Linked DNA regions of Macaca fascicularis. The protein of the gene in region 1 binds, or shares a complex with, the protein of each later gene. Links are inferred from orthologs where the notes say so. Each region holds a gene or a part of one and is shown in the gene's direction. Other genes may lie near its edges.

Region 1 (4,112 bases):
CGTGCAGAAGCAGCCGTTTTTGCAAATGAAAACATTTCCCAGAAGCACAACAAATACAAGACTAACAGGTGCCAGGCAGCGCCAAGGCACACATGTGGTTCTCATCAGCCGTCTTCCTCCTGTTTTAAATCTAGGTCTTCCTGTAACAGTGGGGAAAAAAAAGATTTCTCCCGAGGCCGCCGAGCTTGCCTTTCCACCCCGTCTCACAACAGCATTTCCAACAGAGTTCCCAGAGAGAGGGGAGCAATTACAGAAGGCAATAAGTAGGGTGGAGGGAGGAGGGGCGCCCTTAAACTTGACACCTGCGGTTCTGGGCTTAACCCCGAAGTCTAGGTGACCTTGGGCCTCCGTTTCCTCCTGTGACGTGTTTGGTTAAGAGAATGAGCATCTCAGTTTTACAGCACCTCCAGGCAGAGGCGGGTAGAAGGGTCTTTCAATCACGGGGTTTTCTGCCGGTAGCGGGGCGGGGGGACTGTGCCCCAACAAGGGATGGCGGCAATGACTGCAGACTGGGGGAGGGGGCGCTTCTGAGGCCAGAAATGCCGCTCAACTTTCGACAGATCGCGGGACCCGCCCCAACGACAGAGCAATATCGCCCAAATGCCAGTGGCGCCGAGGTGGAGAAGCCGCGGCGTAGACGCAGATTTGCAACCTCCGGCTTTCCAGCGTTCCCAGCTACGGGGGGCGGCTTCTTTGCCGCCTCACGTTTTCGCGATCGGGGTCGCGCGTGGCGATGCAGACCCCCGCCCGTCACCACACCCATTCCCACACTCTCTAAGGGGCGGGGGCGGCCGCGGCGACACCCCTGGACTCCTCCGATGACCCTTCCGTGCGCAGAATCACAACGTGGACGTCTGCTTCCCTCGCCCTCACAAAAACTTCGGCAGCTGCTCAGCCTGCGACTCTCATCCCCCAGTCACGCGCCGGGAAGGCTCTCCTAGAGGAAGGATTTTCCCGCCGCCCTCCCTGCCCTGAGGTAGCCGCCGCGAGCGTCCGGGTTCAAGGACTCTTTGCGCGCGCGCTTCCGTCAGAAAGCCCCGCCCCGCGACCCGGGCGGGGGCGGGGTCTCCAGGCAGCGACCGTTGCCCCGCCCAACCTCCTCCCAACGGCTGCCTAGGCCGGGCGGCGGGGCGGGGCGGCACAGGCGGGTGAGTGCGCCTGCGCGCGCGTGCGCGGAGGCGCGGGGCGGGGCGCACGGGCAGCCCCGCCCATGCCTGGCGTCTCCGCCCGTCCCATCTCCCAACCTCCTCAGCGTGGCGCCGACGCTGCGTGCGGCGCGGACTACCCAGAGTACTCCGCGCGGGGGCAGCTCACTGGAGTTTGGTTCTCGAGGCGGCGGCAGCAAGCGGCGGCGGCTCCGGCGGCTCCTCCTCCTCCGGTGGCGGCGGCGGCCCGGGACCGAGACCCGGCCCCGGCTCCCCTCTCCGCCACCCCGCGCGCACCTAACCCTCCGGCGCCGCGGGGAACATGCGGCTCCGGCTCCCGGAGGCCGGCGAGTGAGTGACCCCCGTCCCCCGCCTCAGCCCGCCCGCCCGCTGGCCCGGCCGCAACCCCCGCCTCGCCCAGGCAATGACAGCGGCTCCGGCGTCTCCGCAGCAGATCAGGGACCGGCTGCTGCAGGCCATCGACCCCCAGAGCAACGTAAGTACCCGCCGCGCGAGCTGGGACGGAGGCCGCATGGGCCTGGGACCCTCCCCCTCTCCTGTCCCCCTCGCCCACCGGGCTTCGGGGGACCCGTCTGGCGCCCACCTCCCCTCGAGGGCCGCTGCCATCTCTGCCTCTCACTCCTCGGGCCCGGGCCGGGGGCAGGTCGGGCAGCCCGGCAGCGCTTGGTACGTGAGGCCGAGGCTTCCGTGCGGCCTGGGCGGAGGAAGCAGACGGGGGGCTAAGGGTAGAGTTTATCTCCCCTTTCTGCTCCAGCTCTATGACCCTCACTGCTCTGGACGAAGCTGCCCTGCATCGCCCTCCCTCCGGGACCTGAGACCCCCGGGAAGCCCTCCCGGAGCGGGGGAGGGGAGGGAGAAGGGCTGTGAAGCAACTGGTGTCCGGGGTATGACTCGGGGAGCCTGTGTCTCCCATGTCTTAGCCTTCTGGGTTATGAGAGAAGTCCTTCCCCCTCCTCCCGGCTGGCAGCACCTTCCTGGCTTCGGAGAGAACCCCCAGTGTGTTTTGCCCCTGGCCGGGTACCCAGGGTACGTGGAGAGTCTGTCTCCCTTCTGTGACTGGACACGCCTTCGCCAAAACCCTCTTGGGGTCGCTGCCAGCGACAGATGATTTCGGGGAGGGTGGGATCCTTCCTGTTGCCTTTCTGGGCCTCAGTACCCATTGCGTCTCTGACCAAGCCAGAGCTCCATTTTTTTGGGTAGTGAATTAAAGAGGACTTTTCTCTCCCGTTTACCCAAGAGCCCTGTTTCAGTAGGCTCTTTCCCTCACCTGGGGGTCTCAGCCTGGTGGCTATTGACCCAGACTGTCAGGGTTAACTCCAGGGTGTCGCTTCCTCGGGTGCCCCTTTGCTGAGGCTACTGTTGGCGGAGGGACCGCCCCTTCCCCCTCCGTATGTGTGGCTGTGTATCTGTGTGTGTGTATGTGTGTTGTTGCGGGGGTGGGGTGGGGGTGGGAAGACTGATCTATTCTCATATTTTCTCCAAGAGTTTCTTGGCAGTAGGGGTCATACTTCCCGCGGCAGGAGCAGGGCGGTGGGAAGATGCAGTAGCATCCAGGTATGAAGTGAGGCCCTGCTTCCCAGGAAGTGGCCATTGAGATCACTTTTTAATATGCTGTGAATGGAAGAAAAAAATCATCTTTGGCTTGGCCAGGTAACTCAGGTTTCTCTCACCGTAGGGGTTTTTACTTGTAGTTTTACATGAGCTTGGCTGATTACTCTTAGCAGTATGCTTAACTCTGATGATGTTTTTGGAATAATTCACGTTGACTTATACAATTTTTGGTAAGATTGAAGGGTTATGAGTTTTTTTCTAAGGCCCTGTTTTTGCTGTGATATAAGTACTTCTCTTATCCCTGGTATTCAGGTCCCATTAACATTGACTTGATGGTAATTGTCTTTAACAAATGTTATATTATACATTTTTGTTATGACTTTGGGGGTGGAGTGGGCACAAGCTATATAAAACCTTCTCGAATGTCCTTTTTGCAGTAACTGGTGCCACTGCAATTTTAAGATTGAAATATTAGAGGATAAAACTAGTGACATGAAAAAAATAGCCTTGGTGACTTGTACATCTTTTGTGGAGCCAGAAGGTAATTTTTTGAATTTCACGCACTCGCTTTCCTTCTGGAGAGTCTGAGAGGTTGCTGAGATATTAGCACTGATCCTTAATGCCACCTCAGAGAGCTTTGGGATCAGGCGGCACTTTGACAGGCGATCACAGTGTTGTAGATTAGGTCACTCCAGTGACCTCACAGTTTCCAGTATTGTGTAAGGCTCTAATCAAAAGGGTTCCTTGAGGCAGAAGAAAAGAGGACGGAACAAATCTTAGTTTTGTGTGTCTCAGCTCATGCAGAAATGTTATATAGGTCCCTGGTTATGTTACCTGACATGGAATTTGCATTTCATATCGCTTATTTTCAAGGACTTTGGTGATGATCTTGGGCAGAGTCCTACTAACATGGGGTGGATGGATTTGGGAAATTATCTTCTTGATTATGAGCAATGAGGAAAGTGCCTCCTTTGTGATTGATCCTCTGAGCGCTGTTATGGGCCGTTTGACAGGACCGTTCGCTTTGAGCAAACACCATGCAGAAACAGAGCTGCAGTGGACGGGGTTTGCTGGCGGAGGTGGTGGTGAGAGCTGGGCATGTCAGTGTGTCTGCAGTTTCTCTCGGATCAATGTGGGCTCAGGTGAGAGCAGGTGGCTCCAGCACAGGTGCTGCCGGTGTGCCGGTCTCTCCTCTCTGCCCTGCCCAATGATGAATTCCACTACTGGATATTTAGTTGACACATATTTAAGATGCTCGTGGAAAAAAAAAAAAAAAACGGGGACAGTGTTGAAGAGCCAACACTAAAATTAAACCTCTTCTGAGAGAAGCGGCAGAGAATTGTGTCATGTAATGCTTACCTTTATGGGCATGCAATTATGGTTAACAAACTTAGC
Region 2 (4,073 bases), on another chromosome or scaffold:
TCTTTGGCTGCTAAACAATGTGTTTTCTGCTCATAACACTTCCCATTCGTTTTTCAGTTCTCAACTTAAAAGGTCCTGCTGCAATCGGAGAAGCTTCTCAAGACCAATGCTATTGTTACCAGGGAAGCGACACTTTATCATAGAAAAATATTATTCTAAGAGTCTACTTAATTGACTCTCTACTGGGCTTGACTGTAAGGTCCTTAAGTCAGACGTGCCTATGTTGTTTACTTCTGTACCCAAACATTCGATAGAACTCCGAGCATAGTACAAAGCTCGTAGTGGGTATCCCATATATATTTACAAAACCAATGGATAAATGCTAGGGTGGAGCGAGCGATTACTGTTGGCCTAACTTAGGGGATGTGTAGAAGGGAGTGCCTAAAACTAGGAGTGGACGCGGAGGGCTCTGAACAGGGTTCAGTCTCCCATTCCATTACTTTTGCAAGTGTAATACGGACCCTTTGTTGACTCGAAGCAATTCCCCTGCCAGACACTTTTTAGCTGTCCACCCCGCCCCACTACTGGCCACTGTCTTCCTCGGATCTCATCCCAGACACTCACCCAGCCGCGTGGTGCGTTCCCGCGACGCCGCGGGCTTGTCCCCAGTCCCATGCTCGGCCTCGAGCTCCTCCTGTTGCTGCCGTGCTTGCTGCAAAATCCGCCGGCTCAGCCGGGGTCCCACATACTCTTCCTCCGTTTCTCCGGTCCTGCGACCCCGCCGCTTCTCCCGGACCCCTGCCCGCACCGCATTCCCAGCCAGGATCTGATCGGCCAGGGGCGCATGTTTTTCCTGACCCCCGACCCCACGGGCCGCCTTCAATTTGGGCATTTTTCTCGAAAACGTTGCCGCGGAGGTTCGCACGTGGAGACGGCGAAAAAGCCAGATTGCGCTTGCGCGGTGGACTCCCGGCTCTCAAGAGGCCACGCGGCGATCACAGCGCCCCCTAGCATTCGGAGGCCAGAAGCGCCATCAGCGCCGCCCCTCCCACTAAAAGAGCTCCCGGGTTCCGGTGCTGGACTCCCCAATATATTTACAGCCTTTAACGTTAGCTTCTCTCAACAGTGCAGTCTTTGAGTGTCGCTCTTAGCTTCATGGGTCTAGGCCTAGAGTGCTCAGCCAAACGAGAATGTCTGGATTTAGAAACCTGTGGGCGGGAATCCGCAGATGATGTCACTAGAGGTGTCACCGAGGGGCCCTGAGACCCGCCCCACTCCTTGGGGAAGGCGTGGACCCGGCGCTCTGTTTTTACGTATTTCCGGAGTCTCTTCCGAGACCGAAGGTTGTGTTGGGGAACTGAAGCAGTTTCTGTGGGCGGATAGGGAACCCTGCGTTTCTACCGTGTGATCCGGCCGCCTTCCTGGCCCGACGCCATGGGAGTGACTTGGTAGGACTGCAGGGGGTTTTGTAGGGCGGAGCTTGGAGTTGTGAAGGGCCGAAAAGAGGACCTTGACCGTGGTCCGCCGTCCCCTGGGAGCTGTCCTCGGGTTGTGTGGATGAGAGGATGCCGTGCGAGCCGCGGGTTCCCCGGCCTTGTTTCCTCGGAGATGCGCCCCTTCCTCTTGGAAGGCGGGAAAGCAAAGCGAAGTTTTTTTTTTTTTTTTTTTTTTTTCTTTAAGACGGAGTCTCGCTCTGTCGCCAGGCTGGAGTGCAGTGGTGCGATCTTGGCTCACTGCACCCTCCGCCTCTTGGGTTCAAGCGATTCTCCTGCCTCAGCCTTCCGAGTAGCTGGGACTACAGGCGCCCACCACCACGCCCGGCTATTTTTTGTATTTTTAGTAGAAATGGGATTTCACCATATTGGCCAGGCTGGTGTCGACAAAGCAAAGTTTTTTGTTTTTTTTTTTGTTTGTTTGTTTGTTTTTGAGACGGAGTCTCGCTCTGTCACCCAGGCTGGAGTGCAGTGGCCGGATCTCAGCTCACTGCAAGCTCCGCCTCCCGGGTTCACGCCATTCTCCTGCCTCAGCCTCCCGAGTAGCTGGGACTACAGGCGCCTGCCACCTCGCCCGGGTAAGTTTTTTGTATTTTTAGTAGAGACGGGGTTTCACCGTGTTAGCCAGGATGGTCTCGATCTCCTGACCTCGTGATCCGCCCGTCTCGGCCTCCCAAAGTGCTGGGATTACAGGCTTGAGCCACCGCGCCCGGCCGACAAAGCAAAGTTTTTATCCCAGGAACCTATCAATGGTTGTGTACCTCATTCCCTTCTAGATTTATTTTCCTTCCCGTGAGGCCATAGTACTGCCCGCAATGGGACGTCAGGGTTGGAAATAGGGTCTTTGGACTGTGACCCACCTGCAGACAGGGTTAGAGGGAGTGTGTTATAAGCAATCAGGAAACAGTATTTTTAAAGATTTTCTTTATTTTTCTTTATTTCTTTTTCTTTCTTTCTTTTTTTTTTTTTTGAGACGGAGTTTCGCTCTTGTTGCCCAGACTGGAGTGCAATGGCGCGATCTCGGCTCACAGCAACCTCCGCCTCGCGGGTTCAAGCCATTCTCCTTCCTCAGACTCCGGAGTAGCTGGGATTACAGGCATGCGTCACCACGCCCGGCTAATTTTGTATTTTTGGTAGAGACGGGGTTTCTCCATGTTGGTCAGGCTGGTCTCGAACTCCAGACCTCAGGTGATCCGCCCGCTTCGGCCTCCCAAAGTGCTGGGATTACAGACGTGAGCCACCGCGACCGGCCAAGATTTTTGCCTACCCTTCCCTCAGCCATCAAATGCAGTTAGACCAGCTTGTGTCTGTTTCTAATTTGCCCATTTTAAGATCTTGGGTCCAGAGGGAAAAAGAGGCTATTGAAAATAAGGAGATCATGGTTCCAGGCACTTTATCTCTTTAGGACCCGTTTCCCACTATGTTTAATTCCATGGTTAGTCTAGTTTCAGAGGAGTTTTTATCTTTCATAGGTTTTAAGTCTCCGTTGGAAGAAGATGAGGTAGCAGGGAAAGGTATGGGTCCAGTGCTTGTGGAGGCGTTAGTTGTAAGGTGCCAGGTCCCAGAACATTTTTTTCTTATCTCAGTAGATGTGAGCATTTTTCCCCGTGGGAGAAACCCAGAGGCCAGGATATCTGAAGCCAGTGGCTATAGGCTTCTCATACAAAAGCATGTGTAGGGGAAATACTTTTCCTCCTGGTAGCCCAGGTTCTTGCAGGTTTCTCAGTGATTGCACTCTTGTTTCCCACAGTTCACATCATGATCCTCCTGTGTTCCTTAATGGAAGCAAGATATGTGAGGGATGGAAATAGAAAGGATGCAGCGTAGAACCCTGGAACCCCATGCTCTTTTTTAAATAAATAGAAATGGGTTCTTGCTGTTTTGTACATCCAGGTCTTGAATTCCTGAACTCAAGCGAGCCTCCTGCTTTGGTGTCCCAAAGTATTGGCATTACAGACACGAGCCACCGTGCCCAGCCACCCCTGCTTTTTAAATGGAGAAGGCAGGCCGGGCGCGGTGGCTCAAGCCTGTAATCCCAGCACTTTGGGAGGCCGAGACGGGCGGATCACGAGGTCAGGAGATCGAGACCATCCTGGCTAACACGGTGAAACCCCGTCTCTATTAAGAAATACAAAAAACTAGCCGGGCGAGGTGGCGGGCGCCTGTAGTCCCAGCTACTCGGGAGGCTGAGGCCGGAGAATGGCGTAAACCCGGGAGGCGGAGCTTGCAGTGAGCAGAGATCCGGCCACTGCACTCCAGCCTGGGTGACAGAGCGAGACTCCGTCTCAAAAAAAAAAAAAATAAATAAATAAATAAATAAATAAATAAATGGAGAAGGCAGCTCCAGGGCAAGGGCTCTCTGTTGGCACCCTTATCAACGTTTTCAGAATCCTAGGACTTCTGTCCCTTGTAGCGTCAGTTTAGGGATTCTTTTATATTTCAACATAAGGCACATTAGCAACATTGTTTATCAGTGCTTTTTCTGATAGAGTAGTGACAATTTTTAGCAACAGAAGGACTCTACCCTAATAGATTCATTTAGTTGATCATAAAGCAATGTCATCTATGACTGTTTTCTTGATTTCTATATAGCTAAGTACTGCCTGTACTATTGTTTATTAATTTTTTAAATTGATCTTT
Region 3 (3,983 bases), on another chromosome or scaffold:
TCAAGCTATCTGCCCGCCTTGGCCTCCCAAAGTGCTGGGATTACAGGCCTGAGCCACCATGTCCCGCCTGGTCATTTTTCTCTAGGCTCTCTCCTTTCCCAAACTTTTCTCCATGTTGCAACCAGGGTTCTTTTAAAGCTCACACGTGTTCTTTTAGTCTGGCACTGCAGAGTACTCCTGGATCTGGACCTACTCCTTTTCCAGACTTTTAAATTTTTATTTATTATTTATTTATTTATTTTTTTGAGACAGAGCCTCTCTCTGTATCCCAGGCTACAGTGCAGTGGACGATCTCGGTTCGCTGCAACTTCTGCCTCCCACGTTCAAGCGATTCGCCCACCTCAACTTCCCTAGTAACTGCGATTACAGGCGCGTGTCACCATGTCCGGCTAATTTTTGTATTTTTAATAGAGACGGGGTTTTACCATCTTGGCCAGGCTGGTCTCAAACTCGTGATCTCAAGTGATCCACCTGCCTCGGCCTCCCAAAGTGCTGGGGTTACAGGCGTGAGCCACCGCGCCCTCAGTTCATTTTTCTTTTTAAGCCCATTATAATCTCTGTAAGTCCTATCAGTTCCAAGAGACTTTCTGCACAAATACATCTCCAGGTTGTCAAACCTAAAAATATTTTCCTAGAGGATGGCCTGTGACGTCAAGGCGCCAGGTAGACCCCGGAGGAAAGCTCCAAAGGAGGCCGCCATCTTTCTTACAGCAGCCCGGCATTTTGCGCATGCGCTTCTGATTGTCTGTCCGCAATGACGCTCTTCGGCCTTCTCGGCACCCATACGTTTGGGAACGGCAGTTTCGAGGTTTGTGAGACTTCGGCTTCCGACCGGAAGTGAGAAGAGCAGGAAGTTGGCTGGTTGCACCGGTCTGGGGGCTTCCCGGGCTCCGGTAACCGGAGGACTGGGATCTAATCGTCGCTCAAAGGCTCCTAGGTGCGCGGGTGCATATAATTCCCGACTTCTCGAGAAGACACTAGAGCCTCAAGGAGGTGTGCTTCTAGTGTTTAAGTGGACACGTGTTGTGGATGCTGGCTTAGAAGGACCTATATACCATCATTTTAAAATAACTTCCTCTTGGCTCTCTCTTTTTTTTTGAGACGGAGTTTCGCTCTTGTTGCACAGGCTGGAGTGCAACGGCGCGATCTCAGCTCACCACAACCTCGCCTTCCGGGTTCAAGCGATTCTGCTGCGTCAGCCTCCTGAGTAGCTGGGATTGCAGGCGCTCGCCACCAGGCCTAGCTAATTTTTTGTATTTTTAGTAGAGACGGAGTTTCTTAATGTTGGTCAGGCTGGTCTCGAACTCCCAACCTCCGGTTGATCCGCCAGCCTCGGCCTCCCAAAGTGCTGGGATTACAGGTGTGAGAAACCGCGCCTGGCCTTGGCTCTCTTTAAAAGGCATTTTTAGGCTAGCCGCAGTGACTCTCCCTCCTGTAGTCCCAGCTACTCGGGAGGCTGAGGTGGGAGGATCGCTTGAGCCCAGGAGTTCGAGGTTATAGTGAACTAGGAACTCCCCCACTGCACTCCATCCTGGGCTACAGAGCGAGATCCTGTCACCAAAAAAGAAAAGGGTATGGGGGAAAGGCATTTTCAGAGCGATGGAATGCCTAGATTCTAGTTTGGTCCCAACTCTGCTACCAAGTTGCTGTGTGTATCCTGTCCCTCTCTGAGTCTCAATGTCCTCATCTGTAAAAATGAAGGTCCCTTAAGACACTTTTCAGTTCTTCTGAATTTTGTTGCCTCTTTATTATCTCGTTTGAGCCACATAACCTTGGGAGTTAAAAATCATTGGCCTTTGGCTGGGCGTGGTGGCTCACGCCTATAATGCCAGCACTTTGGGAGGCCCACTCACCTGAGGATCATCTGAGGCCAGGAGTTCAAGGCCAACCTGGCCAACATGACAAAACTCTGTCTCTACTAAAAATATTAAAAAAAATTAGCCGGGTATGGTTGTGGGTGCCTGTAATCCCAGCTACTCGGGAAGCTGAGGCAGGAGAATCGCTTGAACCTGGGAGGCGGAGGCTGCAGTGAACAGAGATTGCACCATTGCACTCCAGCCTGAGCGACAAGAGTGAAACTCTGTCTCAAAAAAAAAAAAAAAAAAAAATTGCTGGTCTCATTTTATGAGGAAGATATTGAGTCCCAGGGTGAGGGGTTATAGACAGGACTTTCTCAAGATTGCACAGGTAACTTGGAGGTTTCAGAACTTGAGACTAGAAGGCAATGCTGTAACTCCATGACCAGATCTCCTTTTTATATTTCTGTATCATCAGTTCCTGGAACTGGCCATGTAAGACACTGAAATGTTTTTAAATGAATGAATCTTTTGATTTGAAGGCCAGTGCCACAACAGATTTGGTCTCTCTCGACTACTCTGATGTATAAACAAGTGAACTCTTTTCCAGGTATATCCCGTGCCTTACCTGACTGGGGGCTCTGAGTCCAGTTGTGTTGTCTTCAACTTAGACACCATGGAGGCACCTCCAGTCACCATGATGCCTGTCACTGGGGGCACCATTAACATGATGGAGTACCTATTGCAGGGTAAGTGAACCAGGGAACTTGGATTACCTGTTTTCCTCTTCTCTGTTCAGCTTCCCTTAAGATGAGAGACAACACAAAAGCAGCCTGCACAGTTTCTGGCACCCAACTATGTTTTTAACTGTTACTTTAAATTACAGTTTTACATGCACTAAACATATTAAATCTGCCATCTTGGCCGGGTGCAGTGACTCACGCGTGTAATCCGAGCACTTTGGGAAGCCGAGGCGGGTGGATCACGAGGTCAGGAGATTGAGACCATCCTGGCTAACACGGTGAAACCCTGTCTCTACTAAAAATACAGAAAGAAATTAGTCCGGCGTGATGGCGGGTGCCTGTAGTCCCAGCTACTTGGGAGGCTGAGGCAGGACAATGGTGCGAGCCTGGGAGGCGGAGATTGCAGTGAGCCGAGATCGCAACACTGCACTCCAGCCTGGGCGACAGAGCAAGACTCTGTCTCAAAAAAAAAAAAAAACCTTAACATATTTAAGTGTACTGTTCAGTATTGTTAAGTATATTAACATTGCTGAACAACAGATCTTTAGAACTTTGGTTTATTGTGAGTAGCTTGAAAAAATACTTAGTACAACTGTTTTTTTCTTTGAGACAGAGTCTCGATCGGTCACCCAGGCTGCAATGCAGTGGCATGATAACAGCTCATGCAACCTCCACTTCCCGGTTCAGTGGATTCTTGTATTTCAGCCCCCCGAATAGCTGGGATTGCAGGCGTGCATCACCATGCCCGGCTAGTTTTTGTATTTTTAGTAGAGAGTTGCAGTTTCATTATGTTGGCCAAACTGATCTTGAACTCTTGCCTTCAAGTGATACACTTGCCTTGGCCTCCCAAAGTGCTAGGATTACAGGGATGAGCCGCCACGCCCAGCCTAAAATGCTTGTTTATCATCCTATAAAACTGCAACTCTTTACCCCTTAAACACTAATTCCCACTCCCCTCTATGCCAAACCCTCAGCAGCTATCTTTCTAGGTCCTGTTTCTCTGATTTTTTTTTTTTTTTTTAAGATGGATTCTCACTCTGTTGCCCAGGATGGAGCACAGTGGTGCAATCTCAGCTTACTGCAGCCCCCACCTCCCAGGTTCAAGCAATTCTCCTGCCTCAGCCTCCTAAGTAGCGGGGTTACAGGCGTGCACCACCATGGCTAGCTAATGTTTGTATTTTTAGTAGAGACGGGGTTTCTCCACGTTGGCCAGGCTGGTCTTGAACTCCTGACCTCAGGTGATCCACCTGCCTTGGTCTCCCAAAGTGCTGGGATTACAGGCGTGAGCCACTGCGCCAGGCCAGATTTTGTCAACAAGTATCTGAATATGTTCCAAACATTTGAGCCATAGCCATGGAGGGAGAAAGATGACTAAAAAATAATGTATGTCAAGCCAGCTATTACAGGCTTATGACTGTAATTCCAGTCGTTTGGGAGGCTAAGG
Region 4 (4,076 bases), on another chromosome or scaffold:
ATTTATTTATTTATCTTTGAGACGGAGTCTTGCTCTGTCGCCCAGGCTGGAGTGCAGTGGCCGGATCTCAGCTCACTGCAAGCTCCGCCTCCCGGATTTACACCATTCTCCTGCCTCAGCCTCCCGAGTAGCTGGGACTACAGGCGCCTGCCACCTTGCCCGGCTAGTTTCTTGTATTTTTTAGTAGAGACGGGGTTTCACCGTGTTAGCCAGGATAGTCTCGATCTCCTGACCTCGTGATCCGCCCATCTCGGCCTCCCAAAGTGCTGGGATTACAGGCTTGAGCCACCGCGCAGGGCCGCTATGAGTGAGTTTATTTAACACGAATTTCTGAAAGACTTGTCAACTCTGGGTGCCCAGGAGTCAAGTTTAGCACCTCCAAAAAGAGCAGAGGATGAGACCATGAAATGAAAGGACCACAGGTACGACTGCCTCATGGGAGTCAGGCAGTCCCCGACCGTCTTTTATAATAATGTAGACCATTATGTGATTCCCTCAAAGTCTTAAAAACCACTTCATAGAAGCTTCTCATTGCTGCTTGAAAAACATCATGCCCAGGGCCGGGCACGGTGGCTCACGTCTATAATCTCAGCACTTTGGGAGGCCGAGGTGGGCAGATCTATTGAAGTCAGGAGTTCGAGACCAGCCTCGCCAACATAGCGAAACCCTGTCTGTACTAAAAATACAAAAATTAGCCGGGCGAGGTGGCACACGCCTGTAATCTTAGCTATTCGGTAGACTGAGGCAGGAGAATATCTTGAACCCGAGAGGCGGAGGTTGTAGTCAGCCGAGATTGCGACAATGCACTCCAGTCTGGGCAACAGAGCGAGACTCGTCTCAAAAAAAGAGGAAAGACGGAAGGAAGGAAGGAAGGAAGGAAGGAAGGAAGGAAGGAAGGAAGGAAGGAAGGAAGGAAGGGAGGGAGGGAGGGAGGGAGGGAGGGAGGGAGGGAGGGAGGGAAAGAAAGAAAGAAAAAACAAAACATTAGGCCCAGGAGAATCAGACTGCGGAAGGAAGGAAAAGAAAGAAAAAACAAAACATTAGGCCCAGGAGAATCAGACTGCATTGCACTCCCTGTTCTCAGTTCAGCCCTTGCTCCCAGGGTTTGGACCCAAAAGCCCTCGCTGGCCCAGCAGATGGCGCCGGTGCCCGCAGTGCGCCCCTCCGGGCGCAAAGGGGGCGCCCTCGCCGGGCCTCTTCTTCCTCTCCTGGATGACTCTTCCGCCTTCCGAGCCCGCCTCCTCGCCACGCCCCTGCGTCAGCGCGCTCAGCGCGTGCGCCGGCGGCGGGGCTGTGAGGAAAATGGCTGCGTCTTCGAGTGGTGAGAAGGAGAAAGAGAGGCTGGGAGGCGGCTTGGGAGTGGCAAGTGGTAACAGCACACGAGAGCGGCTACTGTCTGCGCTTGAGGATTTGGAGGTCCTGTCTAGGTAATGCTGCGATCCTGAGAGCCGGGCTGGAGCTAGGCCGGGGGACTGACCCCCGGAGCCGGCCGGCCCAGCGTTTGTGCTCGTTCTCGGGGTTCGGCGGGGAGGGCCAGCTCGGGAGTTTCGGGTGCACCAGGGTCACGGACGTGGGGTCCGCAGTCTTCCAGCACTCTGGACGGCGGTTTTTCCCGTTAGAGGGAATTTTAGTAATGATAAGAACTCGCGCGGTCTGAGCCCCTTCGTCCACAGCCAGCCACTTAACATTTATGGAACGCCCCTTGGGTGCCAAGCACTAGGGAGACAGTAGTGCAGGGTAGGCTGAATGCCGGCTGTCGAGAGAGAGAGACAGATGTGTAAACTGCCTTGAAGCCTGTTTTTATTAGAGCGCTGCGCTGCGGGGTACTGGAGCACAGGGGCTAGGCACCTTTTCTGGTTGTAATCAGGGCAGGCCCTCTGAAGAAACGGCTGTTTGGGAAGCGTGAGCTTGCCAGACTCACTAGGCAGCACAGGTAGATGGAACAGCAAGTGCAAAAAGCCTGGCTTGGTGGAGTTGCAAGTTTTGTATCAGAGATAGGAGATGAAATTAAATGTCATTCTTTATATTCTGTCACCTTTCATGATAAGTCAAGTTGAAGCCTTCCTTGACTCCCTCCCATTGACGTGGATGGTAAATTATCTTGGTTCTACCTCCTAAAATGTTGCTCACATTTGTCCTCTCGTTCCTACCCCACTGTTCATAACTACTCTTAAATGCAGCCTCCCAGTTTTAATTGCCTCATGCTTCTGCACTGTATCCTTTTATATTGGCCAAGATCAGTTTTAAAAGGCATGTTATATTACTTTTCTGCAGAAAAATGATATAAAACCTACCTCATTGGTAGATTTGCGTTGTCCAGTGAGGTAAAGTTCAAATTCTTTAGTCAGGCTTCCACATCTTCAATGCCATTCCCAATCTTCCCCCGATTTGGTGAATGATTCATATATCCTTCAGATTCCAGCCCAAATGTCACTTTTTCTGTAGCCAACATTCTTTGACAACTTTAGAATAAATCTTATCTGTTGTATTTTAAAATATACCTGATATAATCAGCACTTTATCTTTGGTGTAAATTTAGTCCTTGCCATAGTATTGCTACCAAGTTACCAGGTCAGCACAATATTTAATGATGGAAGAAAACCCTAAAACAAATAGACTCCAGAAATTAAATGACTTATGTGTTTGATCCACTGTTTAAAATAAACTGTATTATGGCCGGGTGTGGTGGCTCACGCCTGTAATCCCAACACTTTGGGAGGCCGAGGCGAGCGGATCATTGGAATTTCTTCACAGAATGAAGCTGCTCTGGTGGTGTGACTGGCTTCCAGAAAAGTCTCATGTGCTCACTCAGACATAGTTATGTGTGCTGATTCTGTGATCTGTGTAATTTGTCAGTCTCTGAATGTAATTTGTGTCTGGCTTGCATTTATGGAAATGAGAAGAAAATTCACGAATGTACCTTACATATTTTTAGGTTGAGCCTCTTGGCTTTAAAAAATAGTGGATTTATAACTTAGGATCTTTTTTTTTTTTCTATTAACCTGATTATGTACCCTTTCAGGATATTTATTACTTTGTAAAATGTAATGCAAGGAGACAGTCTTAAACAATTGAAACACAGGTTGTAGTCTAAACGTTTTTCTTAACCCGTTTGTAACTGAAAACTCACGGAATCATGTTGATAGGAGTCTTGAGGTTTCCACACCAGCCTGTTAATTCTCTTTACCTGAAAAGTGTATTACCACTAATAATGTAGGCTCTAACCCCTATGGAAATTTTATTTCTATGGGGAATTGTGGCTGGATTCTAATGCAGTATGCCAGGAATGCACCTTCCTTGTAGCAGGACAGGGCTCTTACTTCCACATCTTTAACCAGAGAGTGAGTATGGGCCTTCCTTTGGCCTCTTTTTCACAAATGGGGAGGACAGAGGTTTCTACTTCGTCTTGGACTGTTACAGAACATGACTAAGTCTTAGAGACTTCTACCTCCCCTCTACTCCTGTGTCAGAGACTTCTACCTCACCTGTACTCCTGTGCCTATGGCAAGCCTTGTAAAGCCTTCTGTGGACTCATACTCCCAGATTTGCAAGAACAGAGGAAGGCTTATCCCACATCTCCTACCATAGCCCCACTCCAGTCAGCACCACCCCTGCCCCACCTGAAACCAGCTTTTACTTAGACTAGAGGTTCTCAACAGTTTGTGTCTCAGTGGCATACACGAAAAAGTTTACGTAACATGCTGTTTTCATACACTGTTGATCCATCAGCAAGTCCTGATAGCTCTACCTCCAAAAGATATCTGAAATCTGTCTATGTTTCTCCCATCACCATTACTAAGTCCTGGAGGCTATGACCTAGTCAAAACCAGTCATTTTTTGCCTGGAACACTACAAAAACCACCTGTTCTGGCCCTTTTACAGTCTATTTACCAAATCGCTCAGCAGTTTTTAAAAGTGTAAATCAGGTCATGCCTTTTCCCTGTTTAAAATGATCCAGTGGCTTTTCATTGAATATGGAACGAAACATTAATCTTTACCATAACTGTAAGGTCCTACATAATCTTACCCCTAGCCACCTGGCTGCTATATCCTCACTTTGCTTTCCTCTCCCCAGT
Region 5 (4,071 bases), on another chromosome or scaffold:
TCCACCCGCCTTGGCCTCCCAAAGTGCTGGAATTACAGACGTGAGCCATCGCTCCCGCCTTGAATTACTTTTTCTTTCCATTGTGATTCAATAGCATTTTATTTTTGTTACTGGTGTTATTTTTGTTTATTGTTATTTGCTACTTTTGTTATAGCACACTGGCTGTCTTTTCTCTAGAAGGCAATACAAGGCCGGCACAGTGTCGCACGCCTGTAGTCCCGGCTACTGGGAGGCTGAGGCAGGAGGATCGCTGGAGTCCAGGAGGTTGAGGCTGCAGTGAGCCGTGATCGCGCCACTGCACTCCAGCCTGGGTGACAGAGGGAGAATCTGCCTCAAAATAAATAAACAAATAGCAATACGACAATAGGATATTGGCTCTGGAATTGAGAATCTTAGTGCCAGCTCTGTTACTCAGTAGCTGTATAATACTGGGTAAGTGAATTTTCACACTTTGAAAACCAGCTTCCTCATCTGCAAAATCGAGCCAATAATAAACCCTAACTCATGAGGCTGTGAGCAGATTAAAGGAGATAGTGTCTGAAAAGCATCTGACACAGTAGGTGCCTCTTTCGCTAGACCAAGGGTTCTTAACCTGGAGTTCATGGACCCTTAGGGGATACATGGATGAGCTTCAGGGGATCTAAGAATCTAAAGTAACATTTTGCATGTCAATATATGCATATTATTATTATTTCTGGGAAGAAGGTCCATAGCTTTCATTAGCACCTTTAAGGGTTTGTGAATCAAAAAAGTTACTCTGCGGTACCCTTGGGCAGAAAAAACAAACAAAAAAGGTTAGACAACTCGATGGTAGACCTTGAGGGATTAGAGCCAGCCTTTCAGGGTTTAATAGGTTCTTTCTCATGCATACGTAGTTTCTAATGTTCACAATAGCCCCTTCAAGGAGGTGTTAGCGCACCTATTTTTCAGATGCCGGAACTAAGAAACGAACTGATTTGTAATAGACGGAGTTCCTAACCAAAGCAAATGTTATTGAAGACTTTTCTAGGCCAAAACCGAGCTAGGCTCTGGGAACCGAATTCCAGTCAGAACTCAGCACCACAGAGGCCTCCCTCTTCCCTGGTTTGCATCCCCAGCTCACTCGGCGCCTCCGGAACGTTTCATAGATTTTTGCTGAGTGAAATCAACTTACCGCCGCCGCCGCCGAAAAACTCCCGGGGCACAGAGCTCCGCCCCCACCGGGCCAGGCCCCACCCCCTCTGCGGTCGGTATTGTCCGATGGTTCCCGGCGTCCCTCGGCTTCCCTCGGTAGTTTCCGGCAATGGTCGAGAGTTTCTAACGTGCCCCCTTGTTGTCTCTCGGCCGCCGTCCTCTCAACCACCGCCCCCCTTTTCGGCTCCCTCTCCCCCTTCCCGTTCCCCCAGTCAGCCTGGCCCTGCTGGCGCCTCCGGCGCTACGGGCTGGGCAAGATGGCGGCCTTCGGGATCTTGAGCTACGAACACCGGCCCCTGAAGCGGCCGCGGCTGGGGCCTCCCGATGTTTACCCTCAGGACCCCAAACAGAAGGAGGTGCGTTCGAAAATCGGGGCTCTGGAAGGGCCGGGGGCACGCGGTCAGCCTAGGAGGAGGCATTGACGTCTGGGAATGGGGGGCGGGGCGGTTCGGTGAGAGCGAAAGTCCCGAAAGGGGGAAGAGTAAAGTGGGCTGGCGTGGGAGGGCAGGACGGGGCGCGGTGGGGGGTTCCAAGGTATGAATAGGGGGTGGTGTAGGGGCCGCACCAGAAGCGCCCTCCTCCACACACATCTCAGAAAGTTGTCTGAGACAGCTTGGTGGGGTACGGCTGCTCGGATGTTCGCAAGAGAAGAGTGATGTTTGAGGGCGCCCTGGGTGATTGGGAATCGTAGTGACCATGGGGGTGACGGTGGGGTCCAAGTGAATGTAAGGGCCCAGCTTTAAGTAACGATCTGTGCTACACGGAACCCTCCTCCTGCCCTTTCACCTTGTTCCTTCGCTTCTCCTGCCCTACTCTCCCATCCCCTCCCCCTCCCGCTAAGGAAAAAACAACTAAACGCCGCTTTCCTGCCTCAGGATGAACTGACGGCCTTGAATGTAAAACAAGGTTTCAATAACCAGCCTGCTGTCTCTGGGGATGAACATGGCAGTGCCAAGAACGTCAGCTTCAATCCTGCCAAGGTGAGACAACTCTGCCAGGCTGAAGGAAAAGGCTGGAAGAATCTGAGAAGGAGCAAAGGCCCTGGGTAGGGAAGACTTATAGGGACAACCTAAGTGGCTGAGTTTGCCTTCATGACCTAATGCTGTCTCATTGGCATTTGCCCAGCAAAAGGCAGGCCACCTGTCTGCCCCTTCTTCCCACCCTGAGGTACAGTTTTCTTCCCTCAGATCAGTTCCAACTTCAGCAGCATTATTGCAGAGAAGTTACGTTGTAATACCCTCCCTGACACTGGTCGCAGGAAGCCCCAAGTGAACCAGAAGGACAACTTCTGGCTGGTGACTGCACGATCCCAGAGTGCCATTAATACTTGGTTCACTGACTTGGCTGGCACCAAGCCACTCACGCAACTAGCCAAAAAGGTAAGGTACTGTTTCCTGTCCTTCAGGCCAAGGAGGGAGCATAGGGTACCAAGTATCCTCCTATTCCCATATTAAGCTACATGGGTGTCAGCTCATGGGGATAATAGAGACCTCACTATTTGCAATGTCCATCCAGGTCCCCATTTTCAGTAAGAAGGAAGAAGTGTTTGGGTACTTAGCCAAATACACAGTGCCTGTGATGCGGGCTGCCTGGCTCATTAAGATGACCTGTGCCTACTATGCAGCAATCTCTGAGACCAAGGTTAAGAAGAGACATGTTGACCCTTTCATGGGTGAGTAACTCCTAACACCAGGTGTACGGCTGATGGCTTCAAGGAGGGATAGAGACACCCTTGCAAACATCCTCCTTCTTAATCTAGATTCCTTGTTTCTGCTTGTTTCTTGCATTTGCTTGATCAGTAAACACTGAGAAATTTGAGTGTCTACTGTGCACATATACTGGTCTACAAAAACGTCCAGTGCATAATCTCTGCCCCTAGGATACTAGTAGTCTAACAGGGCTGCTAAGGTATATGTACAAATAACATAATTAAATATAGAAGGTGGTGAATGTCAGGCTAGGAGCAGAAGGTTCTTTGAGTGGACAAAAGATTACTTTCTTATGGGGATACCCAGAAAGGCTTTAGGAAGGTGGGATTTGACTAGAGACAAAGGATGAACTGAATTTACAAATATGGTGGGTGATTGGGAGTGGGGTAAGGTATTCTAAGTAGAAGGATATTCTTTTTTTTTTTTTTTTTTTTTTTTTGAGACAGAGTCTTGCTCTGTCACCCAGGCTAGAGTGCAGTGGCAGGATCTTGGCTCACTGCAACCTCCACCTCCCGGGTTCAAGTGATTATCCTGTCTCAGCCTCCCAAGTAGCTGGGATTACAGGTGCCCACCCCTGCGCCCGGCTAGTTTTTGTATTTTTAGTAGAGACGGGGTTTCACCATCTTGGCCAGGCTGGTCTCGAACTCCTGACCTCGTGATCCACCTCAGCCTCCCAAAGTGCTGGGATTACAGGCGTGAGCCACCGCACCGGCCAGTAGAAGGAAATTCTAAGCAGAAGGATAGTATCAAATAGCCCTTTTTCCCTGTTTCCTCCAGAATGGACTCAGATCATCACCAAGTACTTATGGGAGCAGTTACAGAAGATGGCTGAATACTACCGGCCAGGGCCTGCAGGAGGTGGGGGCTGTGGTTCCACGATAGGGCCCTTGCCCCATGATGTAGAGGTGGCAATCCGGCAGTGGGATTACACTGAGAAGCTGGCCATGTTCATGTTTCAGGTAGGGAGTAGGGCATGCTGTGTGGGGCATTAGGTTGAGCCTGAACTTGTACTCTGCCAATAGAGAACAGAATCTGCTTGCCACCTTGCCCCAGTTGTGGTTCTCTTCATCTTTTCATTTACTTTATCTGCTTCATCTCTAATAGTCCCCTCTTCCCTCCCCTGGTACCCATAGGATGGAATGCTGGACAGACATGAGTTCCTGACCTGGGTGCTTGAGTGTTTTGAGAA
Region 6 (3,500 bases), on another chromosome or scaffold:
CTGAGATCGCGCCACTGTTCTTTAGCCTGGGTGATGGAGTGAGATTCTGTCTCAAGACAAACAAACTAAATAAATAAATAAAAATACAAAAATTAGCCAGGTGTGGTGGCAGGTGCTTATAATCCAAGCTACTCAGGAGGCTGAGGCAGGAGAATTGCTTGAACCTGGGAGGCAGAGGCTATAGTGAGCTGAGATTGTGCCACTCCACCCCAGCCTGGTAGACAGAGCAAGATGCCATCTCAAATAAAAAGCCAACTTAATTGTTGCATGAAAGATAGTTAAGCCAGTATGCATCCCAGAACCATTAATAAGTAATTTTGTGAGATTTTTCTACAGCTAGGTCTGGCAGCCTATTTTTGTAAATAAATTTTATTGGAACACTGCTGTTCATTTACATGTCTGTGGCAGATTTCTAGGTAATATTGCAGAGTAGGTGAACAGGAAACGTGACGTACAAAGCCTAACATATTACTACATGACCTTATAAGAAAAATTTGTGGCCGGGTGTGGGGGCTCACCCCTGTAATTCCAGCACTTTGGGAGGCCAAGGTGGGTAAATCATGAGGTCAGGAGTTAAAAACCAGTCTGGCCAAGATGGTGAAACCCCATCTCTACTGAAAATACAAAAATTAGCTGGGCGTGGTGGCAGGCTCCTGTAATCCCAGCTACTTGGGAGGCTGAGGTAGAGAATTGCTTGAACCTGGGAGGCAGAAGTTGCTGTAAGCCAAGATCGTGCCACTGCACTCCATCCTGGGCAACAGAGCGAGACTCCATCTCAAAAAAAAAACAAAGAAAAATTTGCTGGCTGGGTGTGGTGGCTCACGCCTATAATCCCAGCACTTTGGGAGGTGGGCGGATCACCTGAGGTCAAGAGTTCGAGACCAGCCTGACTGACATGGAGAAACCCTGTCTCTACTAAAAATACAGAATTAGCTGGGCGTGATGGTCCATGGCTGTAATCCCAGCTACTCGAGAGGCTGAGGCAGGAGAATCACTTGAAACTGGGAGGCAGAGGTTGCCGTGAGCCGAGATCGTGCCATTGCACTCCAGCCTGGGCAACAAGAGCAAAACTCCGTCTCAAAAAAAAAAAAAAGAAAAAAAATTTGCTGACATATGTTCTAGAGCAAAACATTTGCAAACTGAGGTTTATGAATATAAATTTATCTGGAAAATAAGTGCTTTGCTTTAAAATAAGATTTATAACAAATAGCACTTTTTATAACAGGTGTAGGTTTGGGATCTAAGTCAGTAAGGTTTAGAAATTGATAGGTCAAGAGATTTTTCTTTTTTTTTTTTTTTGAGACAGAGTCTCATACTGTCACCTGGGCTGGAGTGTAGTAGTGTGATCTCGGCTCACTGCAACCTCTGCTTCCTGGGTTCAAGCAATTCTCCTGCCTCAGCCTCTCAAGTAGTTGGGATTACAGGCACCCACCACCACGCCCAGCTAATTTTTTTTGTGTTTTTTTTTTTTTAATTAGAGATGGGGTTTCACTATGTTGGCCAGGCTGGTCTCAAACTCCCCACCTTGTGATCTGCCTGCTGCGGCCTCCCAAAGTGCTGGGATTACAGGCGTGAGCCACTCTGACCAGCCAAGATTTTTCTAATGGTTCCTTAATTAAAATAAATTATGTATCCTTGTAATTGCCATATGAAGCCCCCAAGGAAGACATTTTCTTTGAGATGGAGTCTTGCCCTGTCACCCAGGCTGGAGTGCAATGGGACGATCTTGGCTCACTACGACCTCTGCCTCCTGGGTTTCAGTGATTCTCCTGTCTCCCTTTCCTGAGTAGCTGGGATTACAGCCGTACACCGCCACGGCTGGCTAATTTTTTGTATTTTTAGTAGAGACACGGTTTCACCATGTTGGCCAGGCTGGTCTCAAACTCCTGACTCCCAAGTGATCCACCCGCCTCGACCTCCCAAAGTGCTGGGATTACAGGAGTGAGCCATCACGCCTGACCTAAGGAGGCTTTTTTTTTTTTTTTTTTTTTGTTGTTGAGACAGAGTCTTGCTCTGTCACCAAGCTGGAGTGCAGTGGCATGATCTTGGCTCAATGCAACCTCCGCCTCCCTAGTTCAAGCAATTCTCCTGCCTCAGCCTCCCAAGTAGCTGAGATTACAGGCCACGTGCCACCACACCCAGCTAATTTTTGTATTTTTAGTAGAGATGGGGTTTCATTGGCCGGGCGCGGTGGCTCAAGCCTGTAATCCCAGCACTTTGGGAGGCCGAGACGGGCGGATCACGAGGTCAGGAGATCGAGACCATCCTGGCTAACACGGTGAAACCCCGTCTCTACTAAAAATACAAAAAACTAGCCGGGCGAGGTGGCGGGCGCCTGTAGTCCCAGCTACTCCGGAGGCTGAGGCAGGAGAATGGCCTAAACCCGGGAGGCGGAGCTTGCAGTGAGCTGAGATCCGGCCACTGCACTCCAGCCCGGGCTACAGAGCAAGACTCCGTCTCAAAAAAAAAAAAAAAAAAAAAAAAAGAGATGGGGTTTCACCATGTTGGCCAGGATGGTGTCGATCTCCTGACCTCATGTTCCAGCTGCCTCAGCCTGCCAAAGTGCTGGAATACAGGCGTGAGCCATTGCGACTGGCCCCTAAGGAGGCATTTTCTGAGTTCCATTATTACCAATTTTCTTTTAGTTCAGTTTGAAATTCAATTATTTGGACTCTTGTTTATAGTTTGCTTTTGTTGTGTGATTCATAAGAGACTGACAATTTTATGTTGGGTTAGATTTTTATAATGTATTTACCCAAAGCTCTGGTATTTGATAGAACTATTTTTGCCTTATACGATTTGCCCTACCTGGAAACTGCTTACTGCAGAACTCTGATGGTTTATCTAAATCTCAGGTCTCATTCAGCAGCTATTGAAATATTAACTTTGTTTTCTTCCTTATCTTGCAGATGTATGTCCATCCCTGTGACGATGAGGGCTATTCGGAGGAAAGCTGAAACCATTCAGGCCGACACCCCAGCACTGTCCCTCATTGCAGAGACAGTTGAAGACATGGTGAAAAAGAACCTGCCCCCGGCTAGCAGCCCAGGGTATGGCATGACCACAGGCAACAACCCAATGAGTGGTACCACTACACCAACCAACACCTTTCCGGGGGGTCCCATTACCACCTTGTTTAATATGAGCATGAGCATCAAAGATCGGCATGAGTCGGTGGGCCATGGGGAGGACTTCAGCAAGGTGTCTCAGAACCCAATTCTTACCAGTTTGTTGCAAATCACAGGGAACGGGGGGTCTACCATTGGCTCGAGTCCGACCCCTCCTCATCACACGCCGCCACCTGTCTCTTCGATGGCCGGCAACACCAAGAACCACCCGATGCTCATGAACCTTCTTAAAGATAATCCTGCCCAGGATTTCTCAACCCTTTATGGAAGCAGCCCTTTAGAAAGGCAGAACTCCTCTTCCGGCTCACCCCGGATGGAAATATGCTCGGGGAGCAACAAGACCAAGAAAAAGAAGTCATCAAGATTACCACC
Region 7 (3,500 bases), on another chromosome or scaffold:
CAGTTGTTGAAGCTAGCTAAAAGAATTACAGATAAGAAAAATGTCAGTTGCAGCAAAACATAGTGAGCCTCTTCCAGGAGTCTCTTATTAAGGGGAATGCTGCAGATGAAAACATGGCTTCTCTGTGAGCAGATCTTGCACTACTGGCAGCTCAGGAACATTTGTGCTGTGCAGGTACTGGTGTCACATTGTCCTGGTCAAGCTGGTGAGCTCTTGTGTCTGTGGTTGGTTGCTGGTGAAAGAGCACCTGCGTATGGTAGAAACTTCTGCTGTCAGAGATTGTAATCTTTCCATTTTAGTTTGTTCCATCACGATGCCATGGAATTGATCTTCCATCCCATAGAAAAGAAACCCAAGCAAATAAATCCGTACTTAGTTGACTGAGGCTGTCAGCTTTGCTGGCATCTTCTCTATGTGTGCAGCAAAGACAGTGCCGGCCCTGCTTTCCTTTCTCAGCCACCTGTGGCTTTCTGTGAGATGCTGCCACAAAGGGGATCACTCACTGCAGTGTGCAGAGTGAACTGACGAAAGTTTGTTTTTCAAGGTTTCAGATAAATGTTGATCATGCTTTTGGGATTTTTGTTTTTCAGAGCCAGGGTGAGCGTCTTCTTTCTAGAGAAGCACCAGAGGAACTAAAGCAGCAGCCCCTGGCCCTTGGGTATTTTGTATCAACTGCCAAAGCTGAGAATCTTCCCCAGTGGTTTTGGTCATCGTGTCCCCAGGCTCAAAACCAGTGCCCTCTCTTCTTAAAGGTTGGTTTGGTATCATATTAGAAGTTTGCAAGGAATGAGTGATTTATGCTTAAATTTAATTTTGCTTAGAAATTTCAGTTTTAGGCATCATAATCTTATTCTGTTCCTTTTTTCTCTTGTATCTACTTACACTCTGAGGAAATTTTACAGTTGTAGGTGGAGAGTAGAATTTAGGAGGACCCAAAACCATGTCACAAAGAAATGAAGCACAGTAGCCCAAGGAGGAGACAGTGGGGCCCAGAGGGTAAATCTAGGGTGGTACATGGGGTTCAGTGTAATGGTCTTTCTCCAAGTCTATATTGCGTCACTATCAGTAAAGTTAAGCTTGCGTCGAGGGTATAGTAACCAGCCGTCCTCTTCCTCCCCTGCCATGGACTCCTCTCATTCTTCATTAGAGCAGGGTAAGAGTCGGCTAAAAACATTGCACATTTGCACTTCCTCCTTCCTTTATATTTCTTGGAACCTTTTAATCCCAATTTTAAAGGTTCAAAACAAAAGATCCCCTATTTGCAGTTTGTGTTAAAAACAGCAATACCTAGAATGAAATCCATTTCTTGCCCACAGATTGGCAAAAATACAAAGATTTGGCAACATACTGTGTTGGCACAGATGTGGGGAGCAGGCCCTGGTGTTGGTGGAATTGCTGAATAATACAGCCCTACACACTACCCTTTTAGGGCAGCATTCCCACCTCTAAGGAAGAGCCCAAAGGTTCTTCGCCAAAACAGAAAATGACGTATGTCCAAGACTAGAAAGAACCTAAGTGTCATCAGTGATGGACTGATTGAATCAACTGTGGCACATCCAGACAGTGAAATGTTAATCATTTGCAACAAAATGGAGAATATTTCTGTGTAATCATTCTGTGGAGTAGCGATTACCTTGGAGTAATCTATAAGATATGCGTATTCACACACATATACACACACACAGCTGATTATATTTTCAAAAACAAATGATGGAAATCAAACCAAAAACTTAGTGAAGCAATGTTCTTTTCCTAATGACTTTAACATACTATTATAAAATCAAAGAAGGTTTATAAAAATGCATGTGTTCTGTATTTTGAATTAGAATTATCAGTATGAGCGTAGATTTATTTTTCCTCTCTAAAAAAGTTTACACATTTTTTTAGCTCTGTCTGCTGAAAAAGCTTAGCAGCAATAAACACCTCTGTTGCCACAATTGTGGTTCCTACACACTGTTGTCACTTAAAGGTACTATGGTTCTTTGAAGATGACTGATTCCAGGTATGAAGCAGGAAATGTTCCCAGTGAACCTAGGGCATCTTGTCACACCTAAAAGCAAGAAAGTTACCAAAGATCATGATGGTCCATCAGGGCCTCAGGAGCCATCTTAGAGGGCAGCTCGATTGTCCAGGGCTAGGATGGGACCGTGTGATCATTAAAACAAATGATGACAGTGATAGAATGAAACAAATCCTTGGTTCATAATTGTGTTGGAAAACAAAAAATCAGTCATTTTTAACTGCTAGAGCATCAACTCAGTCTGAAAATAAAAAATAAAGAGAAAGCATTTATATATTGCCTCTCGTTTACATATAAAGTAATACCAAAACCATTGGGTGAAAACTTGATGAGGAACTTTATGATGGGTGTAGTACGCTGGTACCACCTGAACCCAGTGATGAATCATGTTACTTCAGGTGGGACAGTAGACATTTCGTGCCTTTAATCATTTGTCACGTACAGATCATGTTGGCTCATGATTTTAGTAAACCAAATATAAAAAGACATTTTTGAGATAATAAGGGAGCATTATCTTATTATCCTGCAGATGGGGTGATTGGGGTGATAATATTAAGGAATCATTGTGAATTTTTATTGTGTGATAATTACTGTTATGTTTAAAGGTCCTTATGTGAGATATCTCTGACGTTTTACAAGCAAAATGATACAATATTTGTTTTATGGGTTTTTTGGTTTGTTTTTTTTTTTTTTTTTTTTTTTTTTTTTTTTTTTTTTTTTGAGACAGAGTCTTGCTCTGTTGCCCAGGCTGGAGTGCAGTGTTGCAATCACAACTCACTGCATCCTCATCCTCCCAGATTGCTCAAGCAATCTTCCAGCTTCAGCCTTCCGAGTAGCTGGGACTACAGGCACAAACCACCATGCCCAGCTATTTTTTTTTTAAATGTTTTGTAGAGATGGTAATATTTGTGTTTTGTTTAAAATAATTCAGAAGAATGAAAACAAAAAAGTGGTGAATATTGATAATTGTTACATCTTGGTGATATCAATTCATGGGACCTTATAATATATTAGAGTATTTTTGTGTGTGCTAGACTATTTCCATTGAAGAAACAAAATACAGCAGACCGAAAAAGCCCAAAAAGTTTGCCTCCCCACCCCCCCCAACCCTAGGATGAGAAGTTACTTGGGATTACCTTGGGGGTTACTGAGCAGGTTAAAATTTATAGACTCATAGAAACTCTGACTTCTAAGGACTTTTGGGAGCATCTGCTTCTGGCAGACATGGCCTCCCTCACTTCTGCACTGTGATTGTCTAGACCAGAGAGGTAACTCCCTTTGTTTTTTCACCAGGCTTCGCTGCATCACCACATTTCAGTAGCACAGACAGACGAACTTCTGCCTGCCAGGAATTCTCAGCGGGTTCCACACCCTCTTGACTCCAAAACTACGTCTGATGTTTTAAGGTAGATACCAACCTAGGCATCATAGCAGTGCAGTTTGAAATGATATTCCTTTACTGTTGTCTTTGCAAGGTGTT

What was found.
Region 2: MED26 (region 1) and MED20 share a complex: the UniProt entries of both Homo sapiens proteins name them as parts of the mediator complex. The link is inferred for Macaca fascicularis from reciprocal best matches to the Homo sapiens genes MED26 and MED20.
Region 3: MED26 (region 1) and MED18 share a complex: the UniProt entries of both Homo sapiens proteins name them as parts of the mediator complex. The link is inferred for Macaca fascicularis from reciprocal best matches to the Homo sapiens genes MED26 and MED18.
Region 4: MED26 (region 1) and MED4 share a complex: the UniProt entries of both Homo sapiens proteins name them as parts of the mediator complex. The link is inferred for Macaca fascicularis from reciprocal best matches to the Homo sapiens genes MED26 and MED4.
Region 5: MED26 (region 1) and MED12 share a complex: the UniProt entries of both Homo sapiens proteins name them as parts of the mediator complex. The link is inferred for Macaca fascicularis from reciprocal best matches to the Homo sapiens genes MED26 and MED12.
Region 6: MED26 (region 1) and MED1 share a complex: the UniProt entries of both Homo sapiens proteins name them as parts of the mediator complex. The link is inferred for Macaca fascicularis from reciprocal best matches to the Homo sapiens genes MED26 and MED1.
Region 7: MED26 (region 1) and MED13L share a complex: the UniProt entries of both Homo sapiens proteins name them as parts of the mediator complex. The link is inferred for Macaca fascicularis from reciprocal best matches to the Homo sapiens genes MED26 and MED13L.

The regions. Positions count from the first base shown.
Region 1 is NC_088393.1:16,962,135-16,966,246, reverse strand, and holds the start of MED26 (mediator of RNA polymerase II transcription subunit 26), read left to right. Parts: upstream 1-1,312; 5' UTR 1,313-1,569; coding exon 1,570-1,641; intron 1,642-4,112. UniProt on the Homo sapiens protein: Component of the Mediator complex, a coactivator involved in the regulated transcription of nearly all RNA polymerase II-dependent genes.
Region 2 is NC_088378.1:129,647,993-129,652,065, forward strand, and holds the start of MED20 (mediator of RNA polymerase II transcription subunit 20), read left to right. Parts: upstream 1-1,273; 5' UTR 1,274-1,374; coding exon 1,375-1,388; exon of another isoform or gene 1,389-2,011; intron 2,012-4,073. Other genes in the region: BYSL (bystin), read right to left, coding at 565-832. UniProt on the Homo sapiens protein: Component of the Mediator complex, a coactivator involved in the regulated transcription of nearly all RNA polymerase II-dependent genes.
Region 3 is NC_088375.1:206,730,028-206,734,010, reverse strand, and holds the start of MED18 (mediator of RNA polymerase II transcription subunit 18), read left to right. Parts: upstream 1-1,183; 5' UTR 1,184-2,124; coding exon 2,125-2,187; intron 2,188-2,406; coding exon 2,407-2,545; intron 2,546-3,983. UniProt on the Homo sapiens protein: Component of the Mediator complex, a coactivator involved in the regulated transcription of nearly all RNA polymerase II-dependent genes.
Region 4 is NC_088391.1:27,212,684-27,216,759, reverse strand, and holds the start of MED4 (mediator of RNA polymerase II transcription subunit 4), read left to right. Parts: upstream 1-1,276; 5' UTR 1,277-1,302; coding exon 1,303-1,427; intron 1,428-4,076. UniProt on the Homo sapiens protein: Component of the Mediator complex, a coactivator involved in the regulated transcription of nearly all RNA polymerase II-dependent genes.
Region 5 is NC_088395.1:77,818,866-77,822,936, forward strand, and holds the start of MED12 (mediator of RNA polymerase II transcription subunit 12), read left to right. Parts: upstream 1-1,271; 5' UTR 1,272-1,430; coding exon 1,431-1,529; intron 1,530-2,048; coding exon 2,049-2,153; intron 2,154-2,360; coding exon 2,361-2,552; intron 2,553-2,688; coding exon 2,689-2,845; intron 2,846-3,659; coding exon 3,660-3,841; intron 3,842-4,015; coding exon 4,016-4,071. UniProt on the Homo sapiens protein: Component of the Mediator complex, a coactivator involved in the regulated transcription of nearly all RNA polymerase II-dependent genes.
Region 6 is NC_088390.1:60,453,143-60,456,642, reverse strand, and holds part of MED1 (mediator of RNA polymerase II transcription subunit 1), read left to right. Parts: intron 1-2,909; coding exon 2,910-3,500. UniProt on the Homo sapiens protein: Component of the Mediator complex, a coactivator involved in the regulated transcription of nearly all RNA polymerase II-dependent genes.
Region 7 is NC_088385.1:122,913,782-122,917,281, reverse strand, and holds part of MED13L (mediator of RNA polymerase II transcription subunit 13-like), read left to right. Parts: intron 1-590; coding exon 591-752; intron 753-3,313; coding exon 3,314-3,426; intron 3,427-3,500. UniProt on the Homo sapiens protein: Component of the Mediator complex, a coactivator involved in the regulated transcription of nearly all RNA polymerase II-dependent genes.